4 linked regions of the Anolis sagrei genome follow. The protein of the gene in region 2 interacts with the protein of the main gene of each other region in a biochemical or structural test. Links are inferred from orthologs where the notes say so. Each region holds a gene or a part of one and is shown on either strand. Other genes may lie near its edges. The genes, in order: USP20, HIF1A, MTA1 and EPO.

Region 1 (7,171 bases), on a different chromosome or scaffold from region 2:
TCTTAAGCCAAACCTAATTCACATCCAAGGTATTTCCTCTCCCAGCTAATTCAATTCTACTCCTCAAATCAATGCTCCCCCCCCCCCCCCCACCATACTGTGTCCCAAGCACAAATTCAGCCATCCATGGTTTGAAAAATATATTTTTTTAATTGGGGAGGGGATCCGTTCTATATCAGGAGCTTCATCTTACTATGAGCATGCAAATCTCAGGCCGCAGCACAGCTTCAGGTAGGGAATAGATTCCGATTATTTTCCTGCCTCCTGCCAGAAATAAAACCTCCAAGCGGTCACGTGACACTGAACAGCTGATTGTTCCTCCCAATAAATGAACATGCCATTATTCATCATTTTTCCTCACAGAAGCATCCCTGCCACTCTCCTTTCTGCCCTTGGCTTCCCATTTCTCCTTGTGCCACCATCTTCCCAATATTAAGAGTCTTGTGTGTGTGTGTATATATATATAGATAGAGAGAGAGAGAACACACACACATACATATATATACATACACACATAAAAACTGCTTTCAATTTATGGTTAGATATTATAAACACGACTATATATATATAGATAATATTGATATAGTAATATATAATACTGATATTGTACTATGCTAATAATATAATATATTGTATGTATATATATCTTGTAAGCTGCTCTGAGTCCCCTTAATTATATATTTTATATTACATGTAACATTACTAATAATATTACAATATAATGGTATAGTACAATATAGCAATATTTAATACTGATATTGTGCTATGGTAATAATGAAATATATTGTATGTATATATATCTTGTAAGCCGCTCTGAGTCCCCTTTGGGGTGAGAAGGGCGGCATATAAATATCATGAATAAATAAATAATAGTAGTAATAATAATACTAATAATAATTGTGTCTCCTGCACTGGGCTAATAATATAATATAATATAATATAACATATTGTGTATATATATAATATTTATAATGTTATAATGTAATACAATATAATACTAATAATACGATATTATAATTATATATTTTATATTACATGTAACATTACTAATAATATTACAATATAATGGTATAGTACAATATAGCAATATTTAATACTGATATTCTGCTATGGTAATAATGAAATATATTGTATGTATATATAACTTGTAAGCTGCTCTGAGTCCCCTTCCGGGTGAGAAGGGCGGCATATAAATGTCGTAAATATATATATATATATATATATATGGAGCCTCCAGTGGCGCAAGTTGTTAAACATAAGTGTGTATGTGTGCATGCGCTATATATATTGCATACAATATGTTAGTACAAACAATATTTATTTATTTATTTATTTATTACATTTATATGCCGCCCTTCTCACCCCGAAGCGGACTCAGAGCGGCTTACAAGATATACATACATACAATATATTATATTATTAGCATAGTACAATGTCAGTTATATATTACTATATTGTACTAATATGTTAGTACAAACAATATTTATTTATTTATTTATGACATTTATATGCCGCCCTTCTCACCCCAAAGCGGACTCAGAGCGGCTTACAAGATATATATACATACAATATATTATATTATCAGCATAGTACAATGTCAGTATTATATATTCCTATATTGTACTACACCATTATATTGTAATATTATTAGTAATGTTACATTTAATATAAAATATATAATTATACTATTGTATTATTAGTAGCTTTATTGTATTACATTATAATATTATAAATATTATATGTATATACAATATATTATATGTGTGTGTATTAACACAAATAAACGTGAACAGCATATATTCATATATATATATATATATATATATATAGCATTCAATATATTCATTCCAAATATATAAGCTGTGTGTATTCTATACATATGTGTGTAAACACAAATAAGTGAACAGCATATATATGTATATATAAAGTACATATAATATATTAATTCCAAATATATAAGTGCTCTCTCTCTCTCTATATATATATATACACACATATATACAGCTTATATATTTGGAATATATATATATATATATTTGTCAGCACAAACAAAAATAAATAGCACAGACACATATAGATATGTATGTATAGAATACACACTGAGAGAGAGCTTATATATTTGGAATGAATATATTGCATGCAGTTTATATATATTTATATATGCTGTTTTCTTATTTGTGTTTACACACATATGTGTAGAATACACACAGCTTATATATTTGGAATGAATATATTACATATATATATATATGCTGTTCACTTTTATTGTGTTAACAAACAAACACACACACATATATATATACAGCTTATATATTTGGAATGAATACATTACATGCAGTTTATATGTGTGTATGTGTGTGTGCATACACATACACACACACATGCTGTTCACTTTGTGTTAACACACAAACACACATATATGTATAGAATACACACACAAACATATATATACACACAGCTTATATATTTGGAATGAATATATTGCATGCAGTTTATATATATAGATATAGATATGCTGTTCACTTTTATTTGTGTTAATACACACACACATATATATGTATAGAATACACATACAAACATATATATGAACTACAGGCAATACATTAAGCAAAACAAATGATATATATAGATATACACAATATAATAGACAATACAAATAAATCTATAAGTGTAGAAACCCCCCCCCCCCCCAAAATACCTGAGGGGCCCTTCCCGGGAGGGCGCCTCTTTCCCGGGGCGGCGTTCTACGCGAGGCCGGTGCTTAGGCGCCCGGCTAGGCCTCGGTTCGCTTCCCAGGCCTGAGGCCCAGCAATAGCCTTCCTCCGCCCTTCCCTCCCGCGAAGGGCGGCCGCTCGGAAGCCCGAGACAAGAGAAGGCCGGAGGCGGCGAAGAGAACGCCGGCGGAGGAGAAGAACCCTCTGTGGCGGCGCTCCAACCTCAGCCCTCAAAACGTTCCGGACTCCAACTCCCAGAAACCCTCGCCGGCTTCTTCAATGGCTGGGAATTCTGGGAAATGAAGTCCCAAGCGGCTTGGCGCGACGCCAATGGACGGAATCACAATGAGAAAGCGGCTTCAAGCGTTCTGGACTCCATTTCCCAGAAGGCCTTGACAGCTTGTTCAATGGATAGGAATTCTGGGAAATGAAGTCCAAAACACAGGTTGAACGGACCAATGGGAAGGCGCCAATGGAAAAGGGGCGGGAAAAACAAATTCAGGCTGCTTTTCTCTGAGTCTGGACTTCATGGTCTCTCAATTGGACACAACCACAACAACAACAACAACAACAATGGCTGTATGGGAGAAAAAAGGTAGGAAAATAGGATAATATTATTTATCTATTAAATGAACTGCATGGTCTAAGATTGACATAATAATAATAATAATAATAATAATAATAATGCTCAAGATCCTGCAAGGAAGACTCCAGCAATACATGGAGCGAGAGTTGCCAGATGTTCAAGCTGGGTTTAGAAAAGGCAGAGGAACGAGAGACCAGATTGCCAATATCCGGATGCTGGAGAATGGAGAAAGGCAGGGAGTGTCAGAAAAACATCCACTTCTGCTTCATTGACTATTCTAAAGCCTTTGACTGTGTGGATCATCATAAATGGTGGCAAGTTCTTGGTGGGATGGGCATCCCAAGCCCCCTTCCCTCTCTCCTGAGGAATCTGACCAAGGACCAAGTAGCAACAGTCAGAACTGACCACGGAACAGGAGACAGGTTCAAGATTGGGAAAGGCGTACAAGGCTGCAGACTCTCCCCCAACCTTTTTAACGTGTATGCAGAACACATCATGCGAGGATGTGCGGGGCTTGATGAATGCAAAGCTGGGGTGAAAATGGCTGGAAGAAACATTAACAACCCCAGATATGCAGATGACACCACTCTGATGGCCGAAAGCGAGGAGGAGCTGAGGAGCCTTCTAATCAAGGTGAAAGAAGAAAGCGCAAAAGCCGGGTTGCAGCTAAACATAAAAAAACCCAAGATTATTGACAACTGGGAAATAGAGGGAGAAATCCTGAAATCCCCAAATCCATGACGATCGAAATTTCACACTTTTGTGCACTTAAGGAAACATATTGGAATTTCGCATCTAGGCTTGGGACCACCTGTAAGATATCTAATTAAGTATGCATATTATTCAAATACAGGATATGTTTATGCAAATGTAGGTGAAATCCCCAAATCCATGACAATCGATATTTCACATTTTTGTGTATGTAAGGAAACCTATTGGAATTTCGCACCTAGGCTTGGGACTACCTGCAAGATATCTAATTAAGTATGCACAGTATGCAAATGCAGATGAAATCCCAAAGTAACAATTAGTTTTTAAATTATCCAGATGCTTCTGTGTTTCTTTAGGCATTTTAGACCCTTATTGCATTGTATTCAAAATCTGACTAGCTTCTCTATATTCACCCCAAAGGCTTGTTTTGCCCAATGGCTGCATCCTTGTTTTGCCCTCACTTCAGCCAGGGCGGAACTGGCTTCGGCGCACGTTGTCGACGTCACCTGCACGCGACGCTCCCGCCCGTCAGAAAGCGCTTTCCTTCAGGTTGAGGCCGAGGAGGGGGCCTTCGGAGGGGGCCGCGGACATTGCTGTCTTCCGCAATGCCGGCGGGGAAGTGTTTCCGCCGGAGGAAAGCGGATTCCGAGGAGGAGGAAGATGAGGAAGACCAGCACCTCACCCGGGAAGTCCGGTCAGTATTTCCCCTCCATTTCTGGTGTTGTGAACGGCCTTCAGGCCCATTTCCAGTGGCGAAGAGCATTCGGCGCCATTTTGGGCCCGCGAAGGCTCATGGGAGTGGTAGTTCCGCAAAGGATTGGCCCGCCCTGCTTTAAAGGGACTGTCGCCTCCCTAGAACTACAACTCCCAAGCGCTATCGCGGGTCGCCAGGGCAGTTCGAATGCCATTAAATACAATGATCCCCCCCCCCGCTTTTTTGCAAGGAGAAATAGAGTAATAATCTACACATTCTATTCTATATTATCTTCTATCTATACACATTCATACACACACAGATATATATACATTCATACGCAAAATACATACCAAATAATCTATCTACATATTCTATATTCTATCTAAACACATATACATACATACACATATAGACACAATGCACACAGAATAATCTACACTTTATATTCTATATTCTTTTTGTCTATACACGTATATACACGTACACATACAGAATAATCTATCTACACATTCTATACACACATAAACATATATACATTCATATAAACATAATACATACAGAATAATCTACACATTCTATTATATATTCTATCTATGCACATGCATACATATACATTTATTTATTTAAAACATTTGTATTCCACCCTTCTCACCCTTTCGGGGAATATATAAGGGACTAAGGGCGGAGCACAGCATATACACAACAAACATTCCATGCCGGGACACAAATTCACACACATAAACATTAAAAAATTATCTCAATATTAAAATACACCATTTAAAACCGTCCTAGTCATCCGTGTAAAATCTAATTGGCCTGGACATCTTTCCTATTGCTGTTTTATTGCATACATACAGAATAATCTTATCTATACGTTCTATATTCTTTCTATACACACACATATATATATATACATACATACACATAATAAATACAGAAGAATCTATGTATTCTATTTTTTTCTATCTATACACATACATATATATGCACATATACACATACATAGACATATATACATGTACACATACATACACATAATAAATACAGAAGAATCTATGTATTCTATTTTGTTCTATCTATACACATAGATATATATGCACATATACACATACATAGACATATATACATGTACACATACATACACATAATAAATACAGAAGAATCTATGTATTCTATTTTGTTCTATCTATACACATACATATATATGCACATATACACATACATAGACATATATACACGTACACATACATACACATAATACATACAGAATAATTATCTACACATTCTATTCTTTGCTTTATTCTATTCTATCTATACATATACGTACATACACATATATCCACATACATACACATAATACATACATACATTACATATAGTAATATGATATAATAATAATAAATCCCTCCCTCAAAAGGACATAGCAGCAGACGCCATGAACACGTCTTTCAACCTCTGCCTCATAACCCGAGGATGATGGCCCTCCAAGTGCAGTGTCTTGGCAGTGGGTCTGTAAGTGCCTTTGGCCCGCATGTTCTTCCACAGTGAGAGCATCGGTTTCCAGGTGGAAGGCGGTCCCGGTCAGGGTTGGCTTGACGCGCCTTCATCATGGCACATTTCTCCCTTTCGCCTTCAATTCATGCCTCTTCGAATTCCACAGCACTGCTGGTCACAGCTGACCTCTAGCTAGAGCGCTCAAGGGCCAGGGCTTCTGTGTCTCTGCCACAGTTTTTAAGGTTGGCTTTAAGTCCCTTTTTCAATCTCTTTTGCTGTCCACCAGCATTATGTTTCCCATTCTTGAGTTCAAAGAATAGTAACTTCTTTGGGTGATGGTGATCTTTGGGCATTCAGACTAACGTTGCATTCAGTCCAGCAGAGTTGATGGCAGAGGACCATTGCTTCAATGCTGGTGGTCTTTGCTTCTTCCAGCATGCTGACATTTTCCTGCCTCTCTTCCCAAGAGATTTGCAGGATTTTCCGGAGGCAACGCTGATGGAATCATTCCAAAAGTTGAGTTTGACGTCTGTAGACAGTCCACGTTTCGCAGGCATATAGCAGGGTTGGGAGGATACAATTTAAAATTCATAGTTTAGCCTTGGCTGGATCGACCTGAAGAAGAGAGAGGCTTCGTTCCGTTTGAAATTCTGGCAGAAAGGATTGAATCTAGCCTTTGTTTTTCTCTCTCTCTTCTCAGGTTGAAACTGGAGGAAGCCAAAGAAGTGCAGAATTTGAGGAAGAGACCAAATGGCGTCAGGTCGGTGTTTTATTTTATTTTATTTTGATCCTACTTTTCTCCCAAATGTCTCATGTCGATCCCAAGGTAACACAATCCAGGAATTGCCAAAAAATTATAATTACAGCATAAGTCCACAAGCAAAAGGTATCCTTAGTAAAACTTGAGCAGGAATACAAAAACAAGAGCATAGAACACTTCCAGGATACTTCAATCCAAAACCAAGGCTT
Region 2 (8,036 bases):
CTATACTGCGAATGCTTACTTTGCGTAATGGGTTGAGCCGCCCCTGATGGTACCTTCAGTCACTTCCTGAGACCACTGTGACTCACACCAATGACTGATCAAGACCAAACTTGGCATACAGAGTCCTCATGATCCATCCTATATCCTGGTGCCATTTGGAGGAGGAAGGACCACAGACGATGGGACTTACATATGGGAGTTGGAGTTTACCTATACCCACTGAAGCCAACTGACATTGGATCCAGACTCCAACTGGAGTGCAGACAAACAATGCCTATCTCAAATAGCCTGGGCATCACTGGGTCCCCAAGCTAGTAAATAAATAAAAGGCCAAACATGCTGAAAGTTTTGGTTTTACATTTTTTTGATCAGTTCATTTATGTTCACAATGTTGGTCATGAATAGGAAATAACTATGCATATAATTAGAGAAAAAAATTGATGGGTTAACTTTACCTTTTCACTTCAAATGTTTAAAAGCAATGCTTTTGGATGAAACATGCAGAATAATCACAGGATGTCTTCAACCTACACCTGTTGATAAACTCTACAAAAGCTAGCTGGCATTGCCCCTCCTGATTTTATTTATTTATCGTGTCATCCGCAACCAGAACATTGTATTACATTTCTAACAGAACAAAACAAACAAACAGATAAAAAAACCCCACAAATTTTGCAAACTTGGTAGCTGATTAAATGTCCTTTGACCAGTATCTGGCCACTTGGAGTGCCTCTGGTGTTGCCGCAAGAAGGTCCTCCATCGTGCATGTGGCAGGGCTCAAGTTGCATTGCAGCAGGTGGTCAGTGGTTTGCTCTTCTCCACACTCGCATGTCGTGGATTCAACTTTGAGGCCCATTTCTTAAGATGGCTCTGCATCTCGTGGTGTCAGAGTGCAGTCTGTTCAGCGCCTTCCAAGTCGCCCAGTCTTCTGTGTGCCCAGGGGGGAGTCTCTCATCTGGTATCACCCACGGATTGAGGTGTTGGGTTTGAGCCTGCCACTTTTGAACTCTCGCTTGCTGAGGTGTTCCAGCGAGTGTCTCTGTAGATCTAAGAAAAGTATTTCTTGATTTAGGTTGTTGACATACTGGCTGATACCCAAACAAGGGATGAGCTGGAGATGTCTCTGCTTGGTCCTTTCACTATTGGCTGCTACTTCCCAGCGGATGTCAGGTGGTGCAATACCGGCTAAGCAGTGTAATTTCTCCAGTGGTGTAGGACGCAGACACCCTGTGATAATGCGGCATGTCTCATTAAGAGCCACATCCACTGTTTTAGTGTGGTGAGATGTGTTCCACACTGGGCATGCGTACTCAGCAGCAGAGTAGCACAGCGCAAGGGCAGATGTCTTCACTGTATCTGGTTGTGATCCCCAGGTTGTGCCAGTCAGCTTTCGTATGATATTGTTTCTAGCACCCACTTTTTGTTTGATGTTCAGGCAGTGCTTCTTGTAGGTCAGAGAACGGTCCAGAGTGACTCCCAGGTATTTGGGTGCGCTGCAATGCTCCAGTGGGATTCCTTCCCAGGTAATCCTCAGAGCTCGGGATGCCCCTCCTGATGTGTGATGGGAAGTTGCTGCTAAATGTGAGAGAAATAAGGTTGAACACTGTCCACTGTGTCCTGCCTCATGTACAGAGGAGGAATTGTTGGAGGCTACAGACAATGCCGTTGCTGTTGCTCGTTTTTGGTGAAAAGATATTTAGCCGCCTGTACGCCTTCTATTTTTTATCAGTTTTATACTAATTTATGCAATGATTTCGATACGAAATAAAATATAACCTTTTTGCTTTAAGCAGATTGGCTATTGTATTGCCTTCAACTGCCAGTTTTCTCCTGTTCTTATATTCTATGTTTATTGTATGTAAACTGCCCTGTTAAACTTTACTTTAAGATGGAATTAAATAAACAAAACCTTATCACTTAGGAGCCGTGTAATGCATATAAGGAAGTGGCAGAACCTTACGTCTAGAGGCTTTTCTGCTATGATACAAATACCTCTCTGGAATACAACAAAATATAACATCCTCAAAAGATTATTAGACAATCAAAATAAAGACAACACATCAAGCAAGCTTTTGAAGCTTCACCATCTTCCTGATAGTATAGGCATGGGCAAACTTTGGTCCTCCTGATGTTTTGGACTTTTACTCCCACAATTCCTAACATCTTAGTTTGCCCATGCATGTGATAATAGATGCATGATGGCTAGCTTACACTCTGCATGTACTCAGAGGCATTCTTGGTGCTTCATGCGGGACCAAAATAAACCCCGAGACTCAAGGCCTCCTCAGGAACTCTTGGCAAATAATGGGATGTCTTATTGATATCATCATTATTATAACACACACATATCCAGCAGACTCTCAGTTAACGAGGAATCAAGCAACTGGAGCTTTTAAGCAACCAGCAAACCCCCCCAGCAGGTATAATATGCATTTTAAAAAGTCCTGCCAAGATCCCAAGTCCAGGGTGAAACTGAGCACAATGTAGACGCCCACTCCAGCCTCAAAGACAGGCTTCCTTGACCTCCACTTATGGATGCTGCAGTTTCCAGTCAGCTTGCAACTGCATTAAATAATAAGCGTAGATGCCATTCAATACAATTTCTCAGTACTAGGCTGTTAGGAATTGTGGGAATTGAAGTGCAAAACATCTGGAGGGCCAAATGTTGCCCATGTCTGCACTAGAGCATCTATCCACTTTAAATCTGATTGCTGCCTCCTGCAGGATTTTGGAGTTTGTAGTTTAGGGAGGCCTGGGATCTCTTTATCTGAGCAGTTTAAAGGGTTACCCCCAAACTACAAACACCAGAATTCTGCAGAAGGCAGCAACCAGATTTAAAATTGATTGATTCTCCAACTCCCACAATTCCTAACAACCTACCTCTATGTATGATGAAGTCCATACAAAAGACAAGAGGAGGAGAAGAGGAAAAGAAGGGAAAGAGGAAGAGGAGGTGAAGGAGAAGAAGATGGTGGTGGTGGTGAGGAGGAGGAGCATGGAAGAAGAGGAGAAGGAAGAGAAAGGATTAAGATGAGGAGGGAGGAAGAAGAGAAGGAGGAAGGAAAAGAAAGAAGAGGAGGTGAAGTTGAGAGATCAAGGTGAAAAAGAAGAGAAGATGGGGGAAGAAGAAGAGGTGGAATGGAGGGAGTAGACAGGAACAGAAAGCAAAAAGGAGAGAAAAGGAAGGGAAAAAAGAAGAGAAGGAAAAGAGAAAATCAGAATTGAAGAGACGTGAGAAGAAAAGTTGAAGAAGAGGAGGAGCAGGGAAGAAGAAGAGAAAGTGAAGTAAGAGTAGAGGAGGACGGAGAAGAAGAGGAGACAGGAAAAAGAAGCAAGGAAAGATAAAGAAACAAGTCGACCATGTGCTCTGTTTTAAACTGTTTATTTTAAATGTATTTATATGTTACTGTTTTGATTATAATCTACTATGTATTTTATTTGTTTTTATGTGGCATTGAATGATTGGCAATTGGAAGCGGCTCTGAGTCCCCTTCGGGGTTGAGATAGAGCGAGGTAAAAAGTACAGTAAATAAATAAGGAGGGGAAGAAGAAGACGAGAAAAATAGAAGAAAGAGAAGAGGAGGAAGAAAAGGAGGAGAAAACTAAAAGGCGGAGGGGAAAGGAAGGGGAAAAAGAAGAGAAGAAAAAGAGGAAAATCAGAAGAAAAGGAGGGTGGAAGAGGATTAGTGGGCAGAAAAGGTGAAGAAGAGGGGAAGCAGGGAAGAAGAAGAGGAGAAAGAAAAGTAGAAGAGGATGGGGAAAAGAAGAGAAGGAAAGAGGATGAATGGAAGAGAAGAAAAGGACAGAAACAAGAGGAGAAAGTGAAAAAGAGGAGGAGAGATGGGGTGAAGAAAAAGAGAAACAGAAGAAAGTGAAAAGGGGGAGAAAAGGAGAAAAAAACAAAAAAGAGAAAAGGAAAGGAAAAAATGAAGAAAAAGAGGAAAATCAAAAAAAAGAGAAAGGGGAAAGGAGAAGAAGAGGAAAAGCAGGGAAGAAGAAAAGGAGAAAGAAGTATCAGGAGAAGAAGAGGATGGGGAAGAGAGGAAGGAAAGGAGAAAACGAAAAGGAGAAGAGAAAAAAGGGAAAAGAAGGGAAGGAAAATAGAATGAGAAGAGAGGAGGGTAGAAGAAGGGAGGAAGAGATAGAGAAGTAGGAGAAGGGGATGGAGAGAGAGTAAGGAAAGGAGAAAACAAAAAAGGAGAAAAGAAGAAAAGAAGGGAAAAGAAGCGAAGGAAAAGAGAGGAATGAGAAGAGAGGAGGGAAGAAGAAGGGAAGAAGAGAAAGAGAAGTAGGAGGAGAAGGGGGTGGGGAGAGAGGAAGGAAAGGAGAAAACGAAAAGGAGAAGAGAAGAAAGGAAGGGAAAAGAAGAGAAGGAAGAGAACGAGAAGAGAGGAGGGAAGAAGAAGAGAAAGAGAAGTAGGAGGAGGAGAAGAGGAATGAGTAATAAGAAGAGAAAACGAAAAAAAGAAAAAAGGGAAGAAGGGAAGAAGAAAAGAAAAGTAGTAGAAGAAGAGGATGAGAAAGAGGGGAAGGAAAGGAGAAAACGAAAAGGAGAAGAGAAGAAAGGAAGGGAAAAGAAAAGAAGGAAAATGGAGAATGAGAAGAGAGGAGGGAAGAAGAAAAAGATAAGGAGAAGTAGGGGGAAGAAGAGGATGGGGAAAAGAAGAAGAAAAGGAGAAAATGAAAAGGAGAAGAGAAGAAAGGGAAAAGAAGAGGAGGAAAAGAGGAGGGAAGAAGAAGAGAAAGAGGAGGAGAAAAAGAAGGAGAAAAGGAGAAAAGGAGGAGGAGGAGGATAAAGAGGAGGCCGCCTTCCCTTCCTGCCTTCTGCGCGCGCAACCGGCGGGGGGAGGGAGACACTCACGTGAGGCAGGCGGGCGGGGCCACGCCCCCTCCGGGCGGCGGTCCTCGCGCCGCCTCCCGATTGGCCGAGGCGGAGCTCGTGACGGGCCAGCCGGGAATAGGCCCCGCCCCCTCCCCTCCCCTCCTCCTCCTCCTCCTCAGACCGCGCTGAGAGAGAGTGAAGAGAGCCTCGCGGTGGCTGCCTTCCCTGCTTCGGCCTCCCTTTTCTGTGTCCCTCGGCCTTCCTCTCCGGCCAAGCTGGCTTCCTCGGCTTCTTCGTCCTCCGCCGACGACGGCGACGAGGCCGCCATGGAGCCCGGAGCCACCCCGGGAGGCTCCAGCGAGAAGAAAAGGTACGAAGGAGGAGAAAGATTAGGAGGCAGGCCTTGCTCTTCTCCTTCCTGTAGGAATGAATGCCTGGGGAGGAGAGAGATGGAGAGAATGGTGGAACTTCCTTCCTCTCTGTTATTGCTCCTTCTGAACTTTCTGTTTTCCTTCCTTTCTCCTTCCTTCCCTTTGTTGTTGATGATGGAGGAGAGGAGGAAGACTTCTCTTCCATTATTCCCAATTTTTCTTTCTTTCTTTGCTTTCTTTCTTCCACCTTCCTTCCTTCCCTTCATTCTCCATTCAGGCCTCTTCTAGACATCTGTAGTCCTTACCTTCATTCTCCATTCTTCTAGACATCTGTACACAATCCACATTATCTCCTTTGAACTGGATTATCTGGCAGTGTGGACCAGGCATGGGCCAACTTGGGCCCTCCAGGTGTTTTGGACTTCAACTCCCACAATTCCCAACAGCCTGTTGGGAATTGTGGGAGTTGAAGTCCAAAACACCTGGAGGGCCCAAGTTGGCCCATGCCTGGTCTACACTGCCAGATAATCCAGAATATCTGCTTTGAACTGGGTTATCTGAGCCCACACTGCCATATTTATTATTTATTTATATATTATATATTTACAACACTTATATGCCACCCTTCTCATCCCAAAGGAGACTCAGAGTGGTTTACAATACACACACACATACACAATATATTATATTATTAGCATAGTGCAAAATCAGTATTATATATTACTGTATTGTGCTATACCACTATATTGTAATACTACATGTAATACAGGGTTAGTCAAAATGAATAGGCCAATAAACACACATATACACACACATATACAATATATTATATTATTAGCATAGTACAAAATCAGTATTATATATTACTACGTCGTGCTATACCACTATATTGTAATATTACATGTAATACAAAATATGTAATTATAATATCCTATTATTATTAGTATTTATTTATTTTCAGCATTTCTACCCCCATTCCTTCTCAACCCCTGAAATGGCTAGAAGGATACTACTATATTGTAATACTATTACTAATATTAGTAATATTACATGTAATATAAAATATATAAATTATAATATCATATTATTGGTAGTAATATTGTATTATTTATTTATTTATTTATTTCCAGCATTTCTACCCCGTCCTTCTCAACCCCTGATATTAGCATAGTACAGTATCAGTATTATATATTACTATCTCATGCTATACCATTATGTTGCAATATTATTAGTAATATTACATGTAATATAAAATATGTAATTATAATATCATATTATTAGTAGTAGTATTGTTTTATTTATTTATTTCCAGCATTTCTACCCCCGTTCCTTCTCAATCCCTGAAGGGGGACTCAGGATGGCTTACAAGATATATATATGTGTGTGTGTGTGTATGGGTATATATATATACACACACACACACACACACATATATATATATATAATATTATTAGCATAATACAAAATCAGTATTATATATTACTATATTGTGCTATACCACTATATTGTAATATTATTAGTAATATTACATGTAATATAAAATATATAATTATTATATCCTATTATTCGTTGTATTATATTGTATTATTTATTTATTTCCAGCATTTCTACTTCTCAACCCCTGATATTAGCATAGTATAGTATCAGTATTATATATTGCAATATCGTGCTATACCATCATGTTGCAATATTATTAGTAATATTACATGTAATATGAAATATATAATTATTATATCCTATTATTAGTAGTAGTATTATATTGTAGTATTTATTTATTTCCAGCATTTCTATCCTGTCCTTCTCAACCCATGAAGGGGGACTCAGGATGGCTTACATTTGGCAACAATTTGATGCCATTAAATACAACAAAGCAATATAACAACAATAAAAACAGTATTAACCACCGTATCACCATTCCAGCCAAATTCCATATCCAAAGCGCTATTTATGTCTGCTGTCCAAAAACCTGGTCCCAGAACCACGACTCAATTTCTTCCTAAAAGACAGGAGGGATGAGGCCTGTCTTACCTCGTTGGGAAGCGAGTTCCACAGCTGGGGGGGGGGGGGGGGCTACAGCCGAGAAGGCCCTGTCTCTCGTCCCCGCCAGACGTATTTGCGACGCTGGCGGGAGCGAGAGCAGGGTCTCCCCGGATGATCTTAAATTGCAAGACAGGACGTATTATATTATTAGCATAGCACAGGAGACAAGGTGGACTTGTCTTCTGGTCCCTCTCTCTTCACTCTGGTCCAGAGCAGCAGTTGGTGCTGGGGGGAGGGGTCCCCAACTGATGACATATGCAGTAGACAAGATGGAACTGTCCCCTGCCCCCCTTTCACTCTGGCCCAGAGCATCAGTTGGTATATTCCAGTTCAAAGCAGAAAATGTGGAATTTTATTCAGGGCCTTTCTAGACAGGCCCTATATCCCGGGATCTGATCCCAGGTTTTCTGCTTTGAAGTGGATTATATGAGTCCGCACTGCCTCAAAAATCTGGAATAAACAGAAAACTTGGGATCAGATCCTGGGATATAGGGGCCTGTCTGGAAGGGTCCTCAGGTAATCAGTTCAAAGCAGGTCATGTTGGGTTATCTGCCTCGATATTCTGGATTATATGGCAGTGTAAAAAGGCCTTCACAATCCCAAATCAGATCTGAGCCTTTATTCCCCAGGTTCAAGTGATAACCCCCATTTCCCCCCACCAAATCCAGTTTCTTCCTTCAAAGGGCCCTTCCACACAGCCCTATATCCCAGAATATCAAGGCAGAAAATCCCACAATATCTGCTTTGAGCTCAGTTGTCTGAGTGCATACTCAGATAATGTTGGATTTTCTGCCTTGATATTC
Region 3 (6,886 bases), on a different chromosome or scaffold from region 2:
GATGGCGGGAACTCACCCTGACTCGCAAATTGAACTGCCATCCTTCTGGTCAGCAAGATTTTCTGCAGCTGACAGTTTAACCCGCTACTTGCTGGCTGGGATGCTAGGATTTGGTAATTTAGCAACAGTGAAGTTCAATAGTACACTTGCCCAAACTTATTATTAAATAATAATTTTTAGGATCCACAATAGTATAATGGGTGGCTGCCAGAGAAAGAACTTTCTTTCTGGTGGTTCTCTTCCCATGGAATGCTCTCATGAGAAAAATTCACCAGACTTTCTCCTTGGTAGTATTTAGATGCCAAAAACATTTTAAGATTGGGCCAGATATATATAAAAATGTAAATAAATAGGTAGACATTTGGACAGAACTATAAACAGCAGACATTTGTTTTATTACAAGCAGCCCACAGGTTATTCCAGAACAGTCCGGCATGCCAAAATCCTTCACCAGCTGGTTCAAGCCAAAAAATAAACAACTCCTCTTTTGTCCATGTTGGACTGATTCTCTGAAGTGAAGCAATACCATTATGGAAAGATGGGCTGCAATTCTTAGTTGAGGACTCCACAGACACCGCTGGAGGTTCTAGAGTTCTTCCTTTCCCAATGCTTTACTGGTGTGATCACATTTTCCATAATAAGTTCCAAAAGTCTGGTGTAGCTCCAGGATCATCTGCACTTTCCTAGAGTTTACTGTAGGTCACCACAGAAGCCGTGCCTGCAATGCATTGGCTTAGCCTTGTGCCACTGTGATTTTATGTACGTAAATTCTTGTAGCATTCAGCCTAAGGAATGGGTCTGTTATGTCTAGCTAGAGACAGGTACTGAAATGAAAATCCCATGTTTTCTGTTTTGCCTATGTAGATATTTTTATCTGAAAAGTAATTTGTTCAGTAGCAAGTGTCTCATGCCACTTTATACACAAATAGAGCTACATTTCCATACATTGGAGTTGCCTGTATGGAGTATCTGTTCATTGGAAGATAGACATAGGAATATGGTGTGTGTTTGTGTGTAAAGAGTGGGACCAAATGGTAATAAAATGTAAGATTTCTGACTCAGTGATGAATGAAAGTCAAAGGGATGAGATTAATCCCTCACATCAGATGGATGAATTAGTCCCACCCTCATGGTCCCCATGAGCAGGATGGCTCTCTTTCACAGCTGTAGTAAATGCTACAGCAGAAGAGTGGCAGTTGTGGTTCCCTGAAGTAACTTCATTAGTATCTTAGTGTGAGGCTCCTGCCTACTCCGGATTTCGTTTTCAAGTGGTCCCCACAGAGCAAGTTGTCATTGCATCACTCAGAAGGGCCCAACAAGGAAAATCCCTTAGATAGCTGTAAACTAGGCTTCACATCAAGGCATCCAGTTGTTGGGCAAGTAGTGGCAATAATGGAGGGGGAATGGATGGGAGGAAATTTCCCACCTTATTCAGTATTATGCCATCGCTTGAAGTATAAATATACATAAAACAAGCATGATGATATTGTTTATATTAAAGTCCTTGTCAAAAACTACCTCTCCCATTTCAAGGCCATTTGGACCCCACTGATTGAACAGTATAAAAAGAATGGATTTAGTATCGAAGGTCCCTTCTATGCTGGCCTATATCCCAGGATGTGATCCCAGATTATCTGGCAGTGGAGATGCATATAATTGAGTTCAAAGCAGATAATCTGGGATCAGATCCTGGGATATAGGGTGGTGTAGAAAGAACCTTTGCTGCACTTTGTTTCCAAATCGCTTACTCAGAACAGTGGCTCCGAAGTTTTAAGCAAGAACAAGAAGGAAAACATGGCAAAATAACTAATTTGTAAAGTTCCTTAAAAAGAGAAACAGTTGAGGCAGGATATCTTGCCTCTTGAAGGAAATAACTGGCAGTTTCAGCCTGTACATCCTTCAGGGTACAACTTGGGAGGTTTGTCAAGAGTGAACTTGCTAGACAATAGAACTTTGCTCAAATTGTCAAATGAAGGGATATCTATTTCTAATCAGTCCATCTTTTTCATTGTATTTTTTTTAAAGACTGTAAATGTATATAGCTTTTTTTTGGAATAAACTGCAATGTAGACTACTTTATTAAATATTTTATTATATTAATGCACCACTAATAAAACTGAATTGGAAACACACCTGTTCTAAGTCTTGTTTTGGAATGAGTTATTTCACTTTCTGCTTCCTGTTCTTACCAAGCAATATTTAGGTGTCAATTAAAAGCTTTGGGATGGATGGCATATGTTCTGTATCAGAAACTATAGCTGATGTGGTCTATTCAATGTAATTTTCTGAATCAGCATCCCAAACCGAATCTAAAATTGACAAAAACTGACTCATAATGCCTACCTGCGTGACTGCATCTCTGTATACGAACCCACACGATCCCTTCGATCATCCGGAGAGGCCCTGCTCTCGATCCCACCAACATCGCAGGCGCGATTGGTGGGGACGAGAGAGAGGACCTTATCGGTGGTGGCCCCTCGACTCTGGAACTCACTCCCTAAAGACATCAGACAGGCCTAACTGGCAGTCTTCAGGAGGAGCTTGAAGACATGGCTGTTCCAGTGTGCCTTCCGGGAATAATGATCCCATAGCACTTTGTCCTCCAAAGCACCTTACATTACTTTAGGTCTGCTCGTATGCCCTTCCGCAAACACCACTATCACCTTTTCGTCCATGTCCCAGCATTATTTCTAATTTTAACTCTACATTTGGCCTTCCCACTGTTTTTAATTGTGTGTTGTCTTATTGATAATGTTGTATATTTTATTGTCTATGTTTTTATTTTAATTGCTTGTATTGTTGTTACTATTGCTTGTATTGTTGTGTTTGGGCTCGGCCTCATGTAAGCCACACCGAGTCCCTTGGGGAGATGGTAGCGGGGTACAAATAAAGTGTTATTATTATTATTATTATTATTATCCTTTTGGTACTAATGTTGGGAGAGTGGTCTCTGGTCAAAGTGGTCCCTGGTCAAAAAAAGCTTGGGAACTATTGTTATAAATGGAGATGAAATTGAGTAAGTGACTGAATATGTATATCTTGGACAACAAGTTGTTGTTGTTGTTCATTCGTTCAGTCGTCTCCGACTCTTCGTGACCTCATGGACCAGCCCACGCCAGAGCTCCCTGTTGGCCGTTACCACCCCCAGCTCCTTCAAGGTCAGTCCAGTCATTTCAAGGATGCCATCCATCCATCTTGCCCTTGGTCGGCCCCTCTTCCTTTTTCCTTCCACTTTCCCCAGCATAATTGTCTTCTCTAGGCTTTCCTGTCTCCTCATGATGTGGCCAAAGTACTTCAACTTTGTCTCTAGTATCTTTCCCTCCAGTGAGCAGTCGGGCTTTATTTCCTGGAGGATGGACTGGTTGGATCTTCTCGCGGTCCAAGGCACTCTCAGCACTTTCACAACAAGTACAGCCCTATAATTTGGCAAATGGTGAATAGGCAAGACAACCCAAGGTTCCTTGGGCGGCTTTTAATCTAAACTGGACAGTGCTAACATTTAATAATCTGCCAATGAAGGTCTGAGCAGATATACTCAACACTACAGTTCTACCGGCAATATTATATGCATCTGAAACATGAACAACAAAATTAGAGGAGGAAAACTGGTGGTGACTTAGAGCAATGGGAAGGGTGTGGGGTGACAATAAAAGAGCAAGTCAGCAACAAAGAGCTGGCTACTAGTATTAAAAATATTCCAAAGGCTTGTCCAAAGAGCCAGTTCTTCGTTGGCGGCCTCCCTTCCTCCTATTTGCAAAAGGCGCCCCACCACGCGCTTCCCGCCCTTGCTCCTTCGCCCCTCCCCTTCCAGAGCCGGAGTGCGCGCGCAGCCTGCTGGGTCTCGCGCAGCCCGGGGGCGGAGCCACGTCCGCGAGGGCAGGGGCCGAGGCTGAGGCGGCGGCGGACTGGAGGCGCCGCGCCGTTCAGGCTGCCTTGCCCTGCCCCTCCCTCCCTCCCTCTCTCCCGCATCCTCCCTCTCTGAGGGGCCGAGACAGTAGTCCTCCCCGCCGGGCCTTCCCTCCTTCCTTTCTTCCTTCCCTCCTTCTCCGGCATGGCTGCCAATATGTACCGCGTCGGAGGTAAGCTCTCCCTTCGCTCGGCATCCCTGAGGAGACTGGGCCGGGCCTGCTCCGTGAGGCATTGTCTCTGAAGCAGCGAGAAGGCGGGCTGAGGAGTGAGTGGAGCCGCCTCTGGGAAGCAGCTCGAGGCCTCCCCTCCCTCCCTCCCTCCCACCGGCCGGATGCTCCAGGAGTGAGGCTGCGCGGGGGTTCAGCCAAGACCAGGCGCCCTCCAGCTGTGGGGGTCTCCAACTCCCCGCTTGTTCGGTGGGAGTTGTAGGCCCGCGCAGTTGGAGGAGGCCTGGGCTGGAGCTTCCCAGAGGATGCCCGGCGCCTGTCACGTTTGCAGCCCTCTGTGGCCCACGCAGGCCGGTCCCTGAGCCCTTCTGTCAAAGCAAGAGGGCTGATGCCGACTGTGGAGCGCGGTCCCTTTTGTTGTTGCCAACTCTTCTTCCTCAGTAGCCGGGAAAGAGTGGCCCAAGCCCCATCTCCACTGCCTGTTTGGAACTGTATTGTTACACGACAGTGTAGGTCAGGCATGGGCAAACTTGGGACCTCCGGGTGATTTGGACTTCAATTCCCACAATTCCTAACAGCCAGAAGAAGAAGAACTTTATTTTTCTACCCTGACTCCCAGGCATGTAGCCGGGGGGGGGGGGGGGGGCTTGAAGGGCTTCAGCCCCCTCCCCCCCCCCCCCCGAAATGCTCATGGTGGTTCACGAAAAGGCCTTACTGGTGCATTATTTAAACTGTTATGTTTATTCATATCATGATCTGATCACCATACATGCATGGGGGTATTGGGGTAATGATACAAAAGGTTTGCTAGCGTAGGCCCTCTTTCACTCAGACTCAGCCCCCCCCCCCCCAAATCAAAATCCTGGCTACGGGCCTGCCACCTCCTTTCTTACTTAGGTGATCCCTCGTTTTCCGAGGAGGATTGTCTCCCAATATTCTTGTGGGTCCGTATGTGGCTGTGGAGCTCTATTCTTGCTCTGCAACTTCTTTCGCAGTGAGGGCATTGGTTTCCAGGTGGAAGGGGGTCTTGGTCGGGGTTGGCTTGACGTGCCTTCCTCTTGGCACGCTTCTCCCTTTCACCCTCCATTCGTGCCTCTTCAAATTCTGCAGCATTGCTGGTCACAGCTGACCTCCAGCTGGAGTGGTCAAGGGCCAGGGCTTCCCAGTTCTCAGTGTCTATGCCAGAGTTTTTAAGGTTGGCTTTGAGCCTGTAGGACTGAAGACCGACAGGTCGCAAGTTCAAATCCGGGGCAGGCGGATGAGCTCCCTTCTAACAGCTCCAGCTCTTCATGCAAGGACATGAGAGAAGCCTCCCACAAGGATGATAAAAACATCAAATCATCCAGGCGTCCCCTGGGCAACATCCTTGCAGACGGCCAATTCTCTCACACCAGAAGCAACTTGCAGTTTCTCAAGTCGCTCCTGACACAACAAAAAAGAGAGAGAGAGAGAGAGAGAGAAGCCTCCCACAAGGATGATAAAAACATCAAATCATCCGGCCACCCCCTGAGCAACATCCTTGCAGACGGCCAATTCTCTCACACCAGAAGCAACTTGCAGTTTCTCAAGTTGCTCCTGACACGACAAAAAATAATGAGAGAAGCCTCCCACAAGGATGATAAAACATCAAAAATCATCCAGGCGTCCCCTGGGCAACATCCTTACAGACGGCCAATTCTCTCACACCAGAAGCAACTTGCAGTTTCTCAAGTCGCTCCTGACACGACAAAAAAAAAAAAAACTCCCTGAAGGGACTCGGGGCGGCTTACATGGGGCCCAAGCCCAGGCAGAGTACAATTAAAATAAAGCAATAACAATTAAAACCCCAGCAACGTGTCCCAGAAGCACTTTACTAGAGACTTAAGATTGTTCGCACATTGCACTTACCGAAAAATCCTTATATTTCAACTGTCATACTCAGCACTTTTAATCTGTACCCATCTACACTTGGCCCGGCCTTAGTTTTATTGTGCTACGGTGTAATGTTTTTACTGTTTACTGTTATTGCTTAATGTTTTCATTTGTTTTATGGTTTATGTGTATTGTTGTATTGTTGTTTTATTGAGGCCTTGGCCTTTGTAAGCCACATCGAGTCCTTCGGGAGATGCTAGCGGGGTACAAATAAAGTTAATAATAATAATAATAATAATAATAATAATAATAAAACAGCATAAAACAACATAACAAAAATAGCTAGCAACAACAATAACAGCAGACTAATTTTGGGGAGAGGAAAACCACTACGTGAACTAGATAAAGGATAAAGTGGTTTAGTAAGGTAGATGACAATGTATGAAGGCATAGGAAAAATCATGGAAACAGAGCAAATTAACAGTATCAGTTAATATAATATAGGACATCAAATTGAATGACAGTTCAAGTCATAATAAAGTGGGAGTTGAAGTCCAAAACACCTGGAGGGCCCAAGTTTGCCCTAGTGTAGATGGAGCCTCAGTATTTATCACTGTGCTTTGTCTGGAGTGCCATATTTTACATACAGGTGGGGGGGGGGAGTATTTAGTCAGATACCAATTGTACAAGTTCTCCCACTTAAAAAGATGAGAGAGGCCTGTAATTGACATCATCAACTATGAGAGACAGCATGAGAAAACATCCAGAAAATCACACTGTCTGATTTTTGACGAATGTATTTGCAAATTGTGGTGGAAAATAAGTATTTGGTCCATAACAAAAGTTCATCTCAATACTTTGTTATATATCCTTTATTGGCAATGACAGAGGTCAGATGTTTTCTGGAAGTCCTCATAAGTTTGGCGCATACTGTTGTTGGTATGTTAGCCCATTCCTCC
Region 4 (7,618 bases), on a different chromosome or scaffold from region 2:
AAGAGCCACACCGGATATTTTCCCCAAAGCCTGTGAAACCCAAACTCTGCAGAGTCCCTTTCCTTGGTGGTCAGCGCACCAGCTGCCCCTTCGAAGTGCGCAAGAGCCACACCGGATATTTTCCCCAAAGCCTGTGAAACCCAAACTCTGCAGAGTCCCTTTCCTTGGTGGTCAGCGCACCAGCTGCCCCTTCGAAGTGCGCAAGAGCCACACCGGATATTTTCCCCAAAGCCTGTGAAACCCAAACTCTGCAGAGTCCCTTTCCTTGGTGGTCAGCGCACCAGCTGCCCCTTCGAAGTGCGCAAGAGCCACACCGGATATTTTCCCCAAAGCCTGTGAAACCCAAACTCTGCAGAGTCCCTTTCCTTGGTGGTCAGCGCACCAGCTGCCCCTTCGAAGTGCGCAAGAGCCACACCGGATATTTTCCCCAAAGCCTGTGAAACCCAAACTCTGCAGAGTCCCTTTCCTTGGTGGTCAGCGCACCAGCTGCCCCTTCGAAGTGCGCAAGAGCCACACCGGATATTTTCCCCAAAGCCTGTGAAACCCAAACTCTGCAGAGTCCCTTTCCTTGGTGGTCAGCGCACCAGCTGCCCCTTCGAAGTGCGCAAGAGCCACACCGGATATTTTCCCCAAAGCCTGTGAAACCCAAACTCTGCAGAGTCCCTTTCCTTGGTGGTCACTCCCTGAGACCGGTCAGTGCCAGCCCCTGGCTTAGCAGTCCAAGCCAATCTTGGCAATGTCCAGGGTTGTGTCCGGAACACACAGCACCGGATGCGGAGCCAAACCTTGGCTGGTATTGACCCTTCGATAAGGCAGAGAGGGTCAAAGGACACGAGAGTTGGGGAGGGAGGGAGGGAAGGAGGGAGATGCTTCCGCCAACATCCCAAATAGGAAAGAACCACAAAGCCATAGATGCACAGAATTGGAACATGCTTTGTCTCCTTGCTTAATTTTGGATGAGAGGCGCACCCCAAGCACTCAGTGCGAATCCAGGGAGGGACTGGGAGTTCTGCCATGTTTACTGCTGGAAAGGGGAGGGTGCAAGGAGGCACCTCTCCAGTGGCAACGTCCCAACCTTTCCTGGATCCCACATCAATCGATGGCAGAAGCAAAGGCATCCTTCCCCTGCAGCATTTGGCAAAGGGAATGAGGTCAGATCTGGCCCATCTATATGACCTCTGGAGACCCCTTTGCTAAGGTTTCACAGCTTGGTGGGCATCCTTCCCCTGTTTGTTGTTGTTCATTCATTCAGTCGTCTCCAACTCTTCGTGACCTCATGGACCAGCCCACACCAGAGCTCCCTGTCGGCCGTCACCACCCCCAGCTCCTTCAAGGTCAGTCCAGTCACTTCAAGGATGCCGTCCATCCATCTTGCCCTTGGTCGGCCCCTCTTCCTTTTGCCTTCCACTTTCCCCAGCATCATTCCCTTCTCTAGGCTTTGCTGTCTCCTCATGATGTGGCCAAAGGACTTCCGCTTTGTCTCTAGTCTCCTTCCCTCCAGTGAGCAGTCGGGCTTCATTTCCTGGAGGATGGACTGGTTGGATCTTCTCGCAGTCCAAGGCACTCTCAGAACTTTCCTCCAACACCACAGCTCAAAAGCATCTCTCTTCTTTCGCTCAGCCTTCCCGAAGGTCCAGCTCTCACATCCGGAGGTGACTACAGGGAAGACCATGGCTTGGACTAGGCAATGGATCTTGGTTGCCAGTCTGATGTCTCTACTCTTGACTATTTTATCGAGACTGGACATTGCTCTCCTCCCAAGAAGGAAGCGTCTCCTGATTTCATGGCCACAGTCCGCATCTGCAGTCATCTTTGCGCCTAGAAATACAACGTCCGTCACGGCCTCCACCTTTTCTCCCTCTATTTCCCAGTTGTCAATCATTCTTGTTGCCATAATCTTGGTTTTTTTGACGTTGAGCTGCAACCCGGCTTTTGCGCTTTCTTCTTTCACCTTGATGAGAAGGCTCCTCAGCTCCTCCTCGCTTTCGGCCATCAGAGTGGTGTCATCTGCATATCTGAGGTTGTTAATGTTTCTTCCAGCAATTTTCACCCAGCTTTGCATTCCTCAAACCCCGCACATCCTCGCATGATGTGTTCTGCATACACGTTAAAAAGGTTGGGTGAGAGGATGCAGCCTTGCCGGACGCCTTTCCCAATCTTGAACCCATCTCCTGTTCCGTGGTCAGTTCTGACTGTTGCTACTTGGTCCTTGTACAGATTCCTCAGGAGAGAGGGAAGGGGGCTTGGGATGCCCATCCCACGAAAAACTTGCCACAATTTATTATGATCCACACAGTCAAAGGCTTTAGAATAGTCAATGAAACAGAAATAGATGTTTTTCTGACACTCCCTGCCTTTCTCCATTATCCTTCCCCTGTAGTGTTTGGCAAAGGGAATGAGATCAGATCTGGCCCATCTATATGACCTCTGAAGACCCCTTTGCTAAGGTTTCACAGCTTGGTGGGCATCCTTCCCCTGCAGCATTTGGCAAAGGGAATGAGGTCAGATCTTGCCCGTCTATATGACATCTGGAGACCCCTTTGTCAAGGTTTCACAGCTTGGTGGGCATCCTTCCCCTGCAGCATTGTGGGGTCTCCAGAGGTAAGATCTGGCCTGTCTATATGACCTCTGGAGATCCCACAAATGTCAGTATTCATCATTTGAAGGGTGGGCACTGGATGGGACACAAAGGGACCAAAGCATCATTCCTTTGCAGCATTCGGGCAAAAGGCTCCAAGCTCAGATCTGACCTGTCTATATGACCTCTGGAGACCCCATGAATGTCAGAATTCATCCTTTAAAGGGGGGTGGCAGCATTGGATAGGCGACAAAGGGATCGAGGCATCTTTCCTTGCAGCATTTAGGCAAAGGGTCCAAGCTCAGTTCAGGTCCCTCTATATGACCTCTGGAGACCCCATGCATGTCGGAATTTATCCTTTAAAGCGGGGGTGGGCATTGAATAGGGCACAAAGGAATTGAGGCATCTTTCCTTGCAGCATTCGGGCAAAAGGGTCCAAGATCAGATCTGGTCCATCTATATGACCTCTCAAGACCCCATTAATGTCAGAATTGATCATTTAAAGGGTGGGCATTGGATAGCGCAGTGGGTTAAAGCACCGAGCTGCTGAATTTGCTGACCAAAAGGTTGCAGGTTCGAATCTGGGGTGAGCTCCTGCTGTTAGCCCCAGCTTCTGCCAACCTAGCAGTTCAAAAATATGCAAATGTGAGTAGATCAATAGGTACCGCTTTGGTGGGAAGGTAATGGCACTCCATGCAGTCCTGCCAGTGGCCACATGACCTTGGAGGTGTCTACGGACAACGCCGGTTCTTCAGCTGAGAAATAGAGATGGGCTCCAACCCCCAAATTCGGACACGACTGGACTTAATGTCAAGGGGAAAAACTTTACCTTACCTATTGGATGGGACACAAAGGGACCGAGGCATCTTTCCTTGTAGCATTTGGCAAAAGGTTCCAAACTCAGATCAGGTCTGTCTAGATGACCTCTGAAGACCCCACAAATGTCAGAATTCATCAGTTTTGGTTGGACCCCCATTAAACTAGATTCAGTGGCTGCAAAGAGAGCCGAACACAATTGATTCAGTGGTTCCAGATGTGACTGGAAATGGTGATTTATAGTTCTGACCGAGAGGCACAAGTCCAAAGGGCCACCTGGGGCCGCAGGAGGGTACAACCAAATTGTGAGAATTTGCCGGTCATCCCCCACCCCCTCTTGGTGTGATGTCCATTCCAGGTGGCTTTGCTGTGGCCAAACCCAGAGGAAGTGACCGTTCCTCCCCAGAGCCCCCTTTTGGCCGCAACAACCGGTGTCCGCACTCTCTGCCTTTGGCCGGCTGCCAGGAGGCTGACCTTTCCCACCTTCGCGCCTGGACCTGTGGCTGGCTGGACTCCGGCCAGAGAGCGCCGACGTGCCTCCTGTGGCATGGGCCACTCTCTCGCAGGCGCTGGGGCTTGATCCGGCGCAGGTTTCATCACCATCAATATTATGATTTTGGTGATGATGAGGAGGAGGGTTGCCATGCCCACCGGCTCAAGCCTGGAGTTTCCGGCCTGGAGAGAATAACTGTCCCTCTGGCTGAGGTCCGGCCCAGAGCCATTCCTCTGCAGGGAAGGGCCGGCCGGAGTCAGTCCTCTTTGGACCGCTGCAAAAGGACACCGGGTGAAACATTAACCGCCTCTCGTGCCGCTACGCAGCTCCTGGGGTCTGCCGTGGAAAGACCAGGGGGTCGCCACAGAAGGAAAATATCACCGATATGCTGGGATCCCAAACTGGTGGCTGAGGGGCGAGACTGGTTTGGAGCGGCCTGCAATCCAAAGTGGACATCTGAGCCCAGAAGACTCACCTGGACATCGTCAGTCTCACCTAGCCGCCAGAGGAGAGCTCCCTTTGGCCAGAGCGCTGGACATCCGAGTGGCTCCTCTGAAGACTCACCTGGAGGCGTGGACTGTGGCTGAGGACACCTGGAGACTGACCTCTGACCTCTTCACCTGGACTTTGAGTGGCCTGGAGAGACGAACGCTCCCAAAGAAGAGGGACATCTCAACTGCCGGACGATTCCGTGGACGAAGGCACCTGGAGACACATTGCTAAGGTTCTGAGAAATCCCTCGAGAGCAACGGCCAGCCCTTTGGCTCCTTTTGGCCAGACCGCTGGACGTTCCCGTGACCGCTCCATGGACTCACCTGGAAGCCTGCATCGTAGTTGAGGGTCCCCATGGACTTGGAGTGACACCGAAGGCAGCCCCCCAACTCATTTTGGACCCGCAGCAGTGGAAGCCCATGGCTAGCCATGGGGCAGGAGGGGTCCGCTAGTCGCTAAGGCCATGCGCTTTCGGCTATGGGGATACCTGGTGAGTCGCCGTCCCGGCCAAGGGGCAGCTCCAGCAACCATCGATCGATCCATACATCGATCGGGGTTGGGTTGGGTTGGGTTGGGTGGCTGCCAAGGGGATTGGCAAGCTGGGCTCCGGCAGGGAGCCAAGGGGGGCACAGGGCACCGGAGCCAGCTTTCTATGTTCTCCATGTTCTCTGTTGTTGTATGTTCTCACCTTGGCTCCGGAGGGCAGAGAAAGGGGTCTTGGTTCTGGTCCGGAGAACTGGCCATTGAATCAAGGCATGGACCAAGCCTCAGCTTACTTCCGACTCTAGGATTCTGTGATGGTCATCTGTCGGGAGGGATTTGATGGTGTCTTCCTTTACAGCAGAAGGGGGTTGGACTAGATGACCTTTGGGAGTCTCTCCCAACCTTAGGGTTCTATGATTCAGAGGCTGGGTACACATCTGTCGGGAGGGATTTGATGGTGTCTTTCTTTACAGCAGAAGGGGGTTGGACTAGATGACCTTTGGGAGTCTCTCCCAACCCTAGGGTTCTATGATTCAGAGGCTGGGTACACATCTGTCGGAAGGGATTAGATAGTGTCTTCCTTTACTGCAGAATGAGGTTTGACTAGATGACCTTTGGGAGTCTCTCCCAACTCTAGCATTCCAAGATTCAGAGGCTGGATGGCCATCTGTTGGGAGGGATTAGATGATGTTTTCCTTTACAGCAGAAGGGGTTCGACTAGATAACCTTTGGATGTCTCTCCCAAATCTAAGATTCTGTGACTCAGAGGTTTGATGGCCATCTGTCGGGAGGGATTCAATGGTGCCTTCCTTTATTGCAGAATGGGGTTGGAGTGGATGGACTTGGGGTCTCTTCCAACTCTAGCATTGGATTATTCAGAGGCTGGATAGCCATCTGTCAGGAGGTATTAGATGGTGTCTTCCTTGACGATCGAAGGGGGTTCGACTAGATGACCTTTAGGAGTCTCTCACAACTCTAGCATTCAATGATTCAGAGGCTGGATGGCCATCTGTGATGAGAGATTAGATGGTGTTTCCCTCTACAGCAGAGTCTCTCCAAGCTCTAAGATTCTGTAATTCAGAGGCTGGTTGGCCATCTGTTGAGAGGGATTCAATGGTGTCTTCCTTCATGGCAGAAGGGGATTGGACTGGATAGCCCACAGTGTCTCTTCGGTCTCTAGCTTTTGGTGATTCAGTCTGGATGGCCATCTGTCAGGAGGGATTAGATGGTGTCTTCCTTTATGGCAGAAGGGGTTCAACTAGATGACCTTTGGGAGACTCTCCCAACTCTAAGATGTACAATTCAGAGGCTGGATGGCCATCTGTCAGGAGAGGTTCAATGGTGTCTTCCTTTTTGGCAGAAGGGGGTTGGACTGGAGGGACCTTGGGTTCTCTTCCAACTCAAGCATTCGATGATTCAGAGGGTAGATGGCCATCTGTCAGGAGATATTAGATGGTGTTGGACTGGAGGGACCTTGGGTTCTCTTCCAACTCAAGCATTTGATGATTCAGAGGATGGATGGCCATCTGTCAGGAGATATTAGATGATGTTGGACTGGAGGAACCTTGGGTTCTCTTCCAACTCAAGCATTTGATGATTCAGAGGCTGGATGGCCATCTTTCAGGAGGGATTAGATGGTGTTGGACTGGAGGGACCTTGGGTTCTCTTCCAACTCAAGCATTTGATGATTCAGAGGGTGGATGGCCATCTTCCAGGAGGGATTAGATGGTGTTGGACTGGAGGGACCTTGTGTTCTTTTCCAACTCAAGCATTCGATGATTTAAAGGGTAGATGGCTATCTATCAGGAGATATTAGATGATGTTGGACTGGAGGGACCTTGGGTTCTCTTCCAACTCAAGCATTTGATGATTCAGAGGCTGGGTGGCCATCTTTCAGGAGGGATTAGATGGTGTTGGACTGGACGGACCTTGGGTTCTCTTCCAACTCAAGCATTCGATGATTCAGAGGCTGGATGGCCATCTTTCAGGAGGGATTAGATGGTGTTGGACTGGCTGGACCTTGGAGTCTCTTCCAAATCTAGGAGTCTATGATTCTATGCAGTCCTCCAAAATTTCTATTCTCAATCTAGGAAAGAAGAAGGATTGTGGCAAGGACTGGAAATAGTCACTGTGTTCAGACTACAGCTCCCAGAATCCCCAGGCCAAATGTGGGAGTTGTTGAGGAAATAAACTGGAACTTTATCAATTTATATAGCTCTAAAGACCAGGAGTCTTATATACAAGACATCTCATTACGGACATTGATGCGAATCCAAAACATTTTGGATAAGGCTGACCCAATCCTCCCAGGGTTGGGGATGCTGGGTGCTGTAGTCCCAAAGCAAACGTTGTTTCCCAGGCTGTCCGGCCTGTTTTTGCCCTTCAAGGGCCTGGAGAGAAACTTGGTGAGTTAAAGTGTGAAGGACTGGAGATAGCGATAAGCCTCCTTGTCAACACCAGAGGCTCAGGAACTCGGCACATGCGAAAGCAGCTGGGATGGAATTTGGAACGGCATCCCTCTGCGCCAAAGGGAAGCATGCGAATGGAAGCAGGAGATCCAATCGAGCAGGGAAGCCACCCCCAAAGTCTTGAAGACTGTACCCAAGTGACACATTTGCACTTGGGCCCTCCCTCCAGGTGTTTTGGACTCCAACTCCCACCATTCCTAACATAGAATCATAGAATCCTAGAATCAAAGAGTTGGAAGAGACCTCCTGGGCCATCCAGTCCAACCCCATTCTGCCAAGAAGCAGGAA

What was found.
Region 1: of the proteins of HIF1A (region 2) and USP20, one has a biochemical effect on the other in vitro, tested with the Homo sapiens proteins (2 studies listed by BioGRID and IntAct, with this or other methods). The link is inferred for Anolis sagrei from reciprocal best matches to the Homo sapiens genes HIF1A and USP20.
Region 3: the proteins of HIF1A (region 2) and MTA1 form a complex in vitro, tested with the Homo sapiens proteins (2 studies listed by BioGRID). The link is inferred for Anolis sagrei from reciprocal best matches to the Homo sapiens genes HIF1A and MTA1.
Region 4: the proteins of HIF1A (region 2) and EPO form a complex in vitro, tested with the Homo sapiens proteins (2 studies listed by BioGRID). The link is inferred for Anolis sagrei from reciprocal best matches to the Homo sapiens genes HIF1A and EPO.

What each region holds. Positions count from the first base shown.
Region 1 is NC_090031.1:3,029,814-3,036,984, reverse strand, and holds the start of USP20 (ubiquitin carboxyl-terminal hydrolase 20), read right to left. Parts: upstream 3,002-7,171; 5' UTR 2,699-3,001; intron 232-2,698; exon of another isoform or gene 194-231; intron 1-193. Other genes in the region: C11H9orf78 (splicing factor C9orf78 homolog), read left to right, coding at 4,617-4,705, 6,903-6,962.
Region 2 is NC_090021.1:332,082,675-332,090,710, reverse strand, and holds the start of HIF1A (hypoxia-inducible factor 1-alpha), read left to right. Parts: upstream 1-4,985; 5' UTR 4,986-5,148; coding exon 5,149-5,192; intron 5,193-8,036.
Region 3 is NC_090024.1:132,906,148-132,913,033, reverse strand, and holds the start of MTA1 (metastasis-associated protein MTA1), read left to right. Parts: upstream 1-3,857; 5' UTR 3,858-4,051; coding exon 4,052-4,079; intron 4,080-6,886. UniProt on the Homo sapiens protein: Transcriptional coregulator which can act as both a transcriptional corepressor and coactivator. Acts as a component of the histone deacetylase NuRD complex which participates in the remodeling of chromatin.
Region 4 is NC_090026.1:2,690,866-2,698,483, forward strand, and holds the start of EPO (erythropoietin), read left to right. Parts: upstream 1-4,587; 5' UTR 4,588-4,856; coding exon 4,857-4,869; intron 4,870-7,618. UniProt on the Homo sapiens protein: Hormone involved in the regulation of erythrocyte proliferation and differentiation and the maintenance of a physiological level of circulating erythrocyte mass.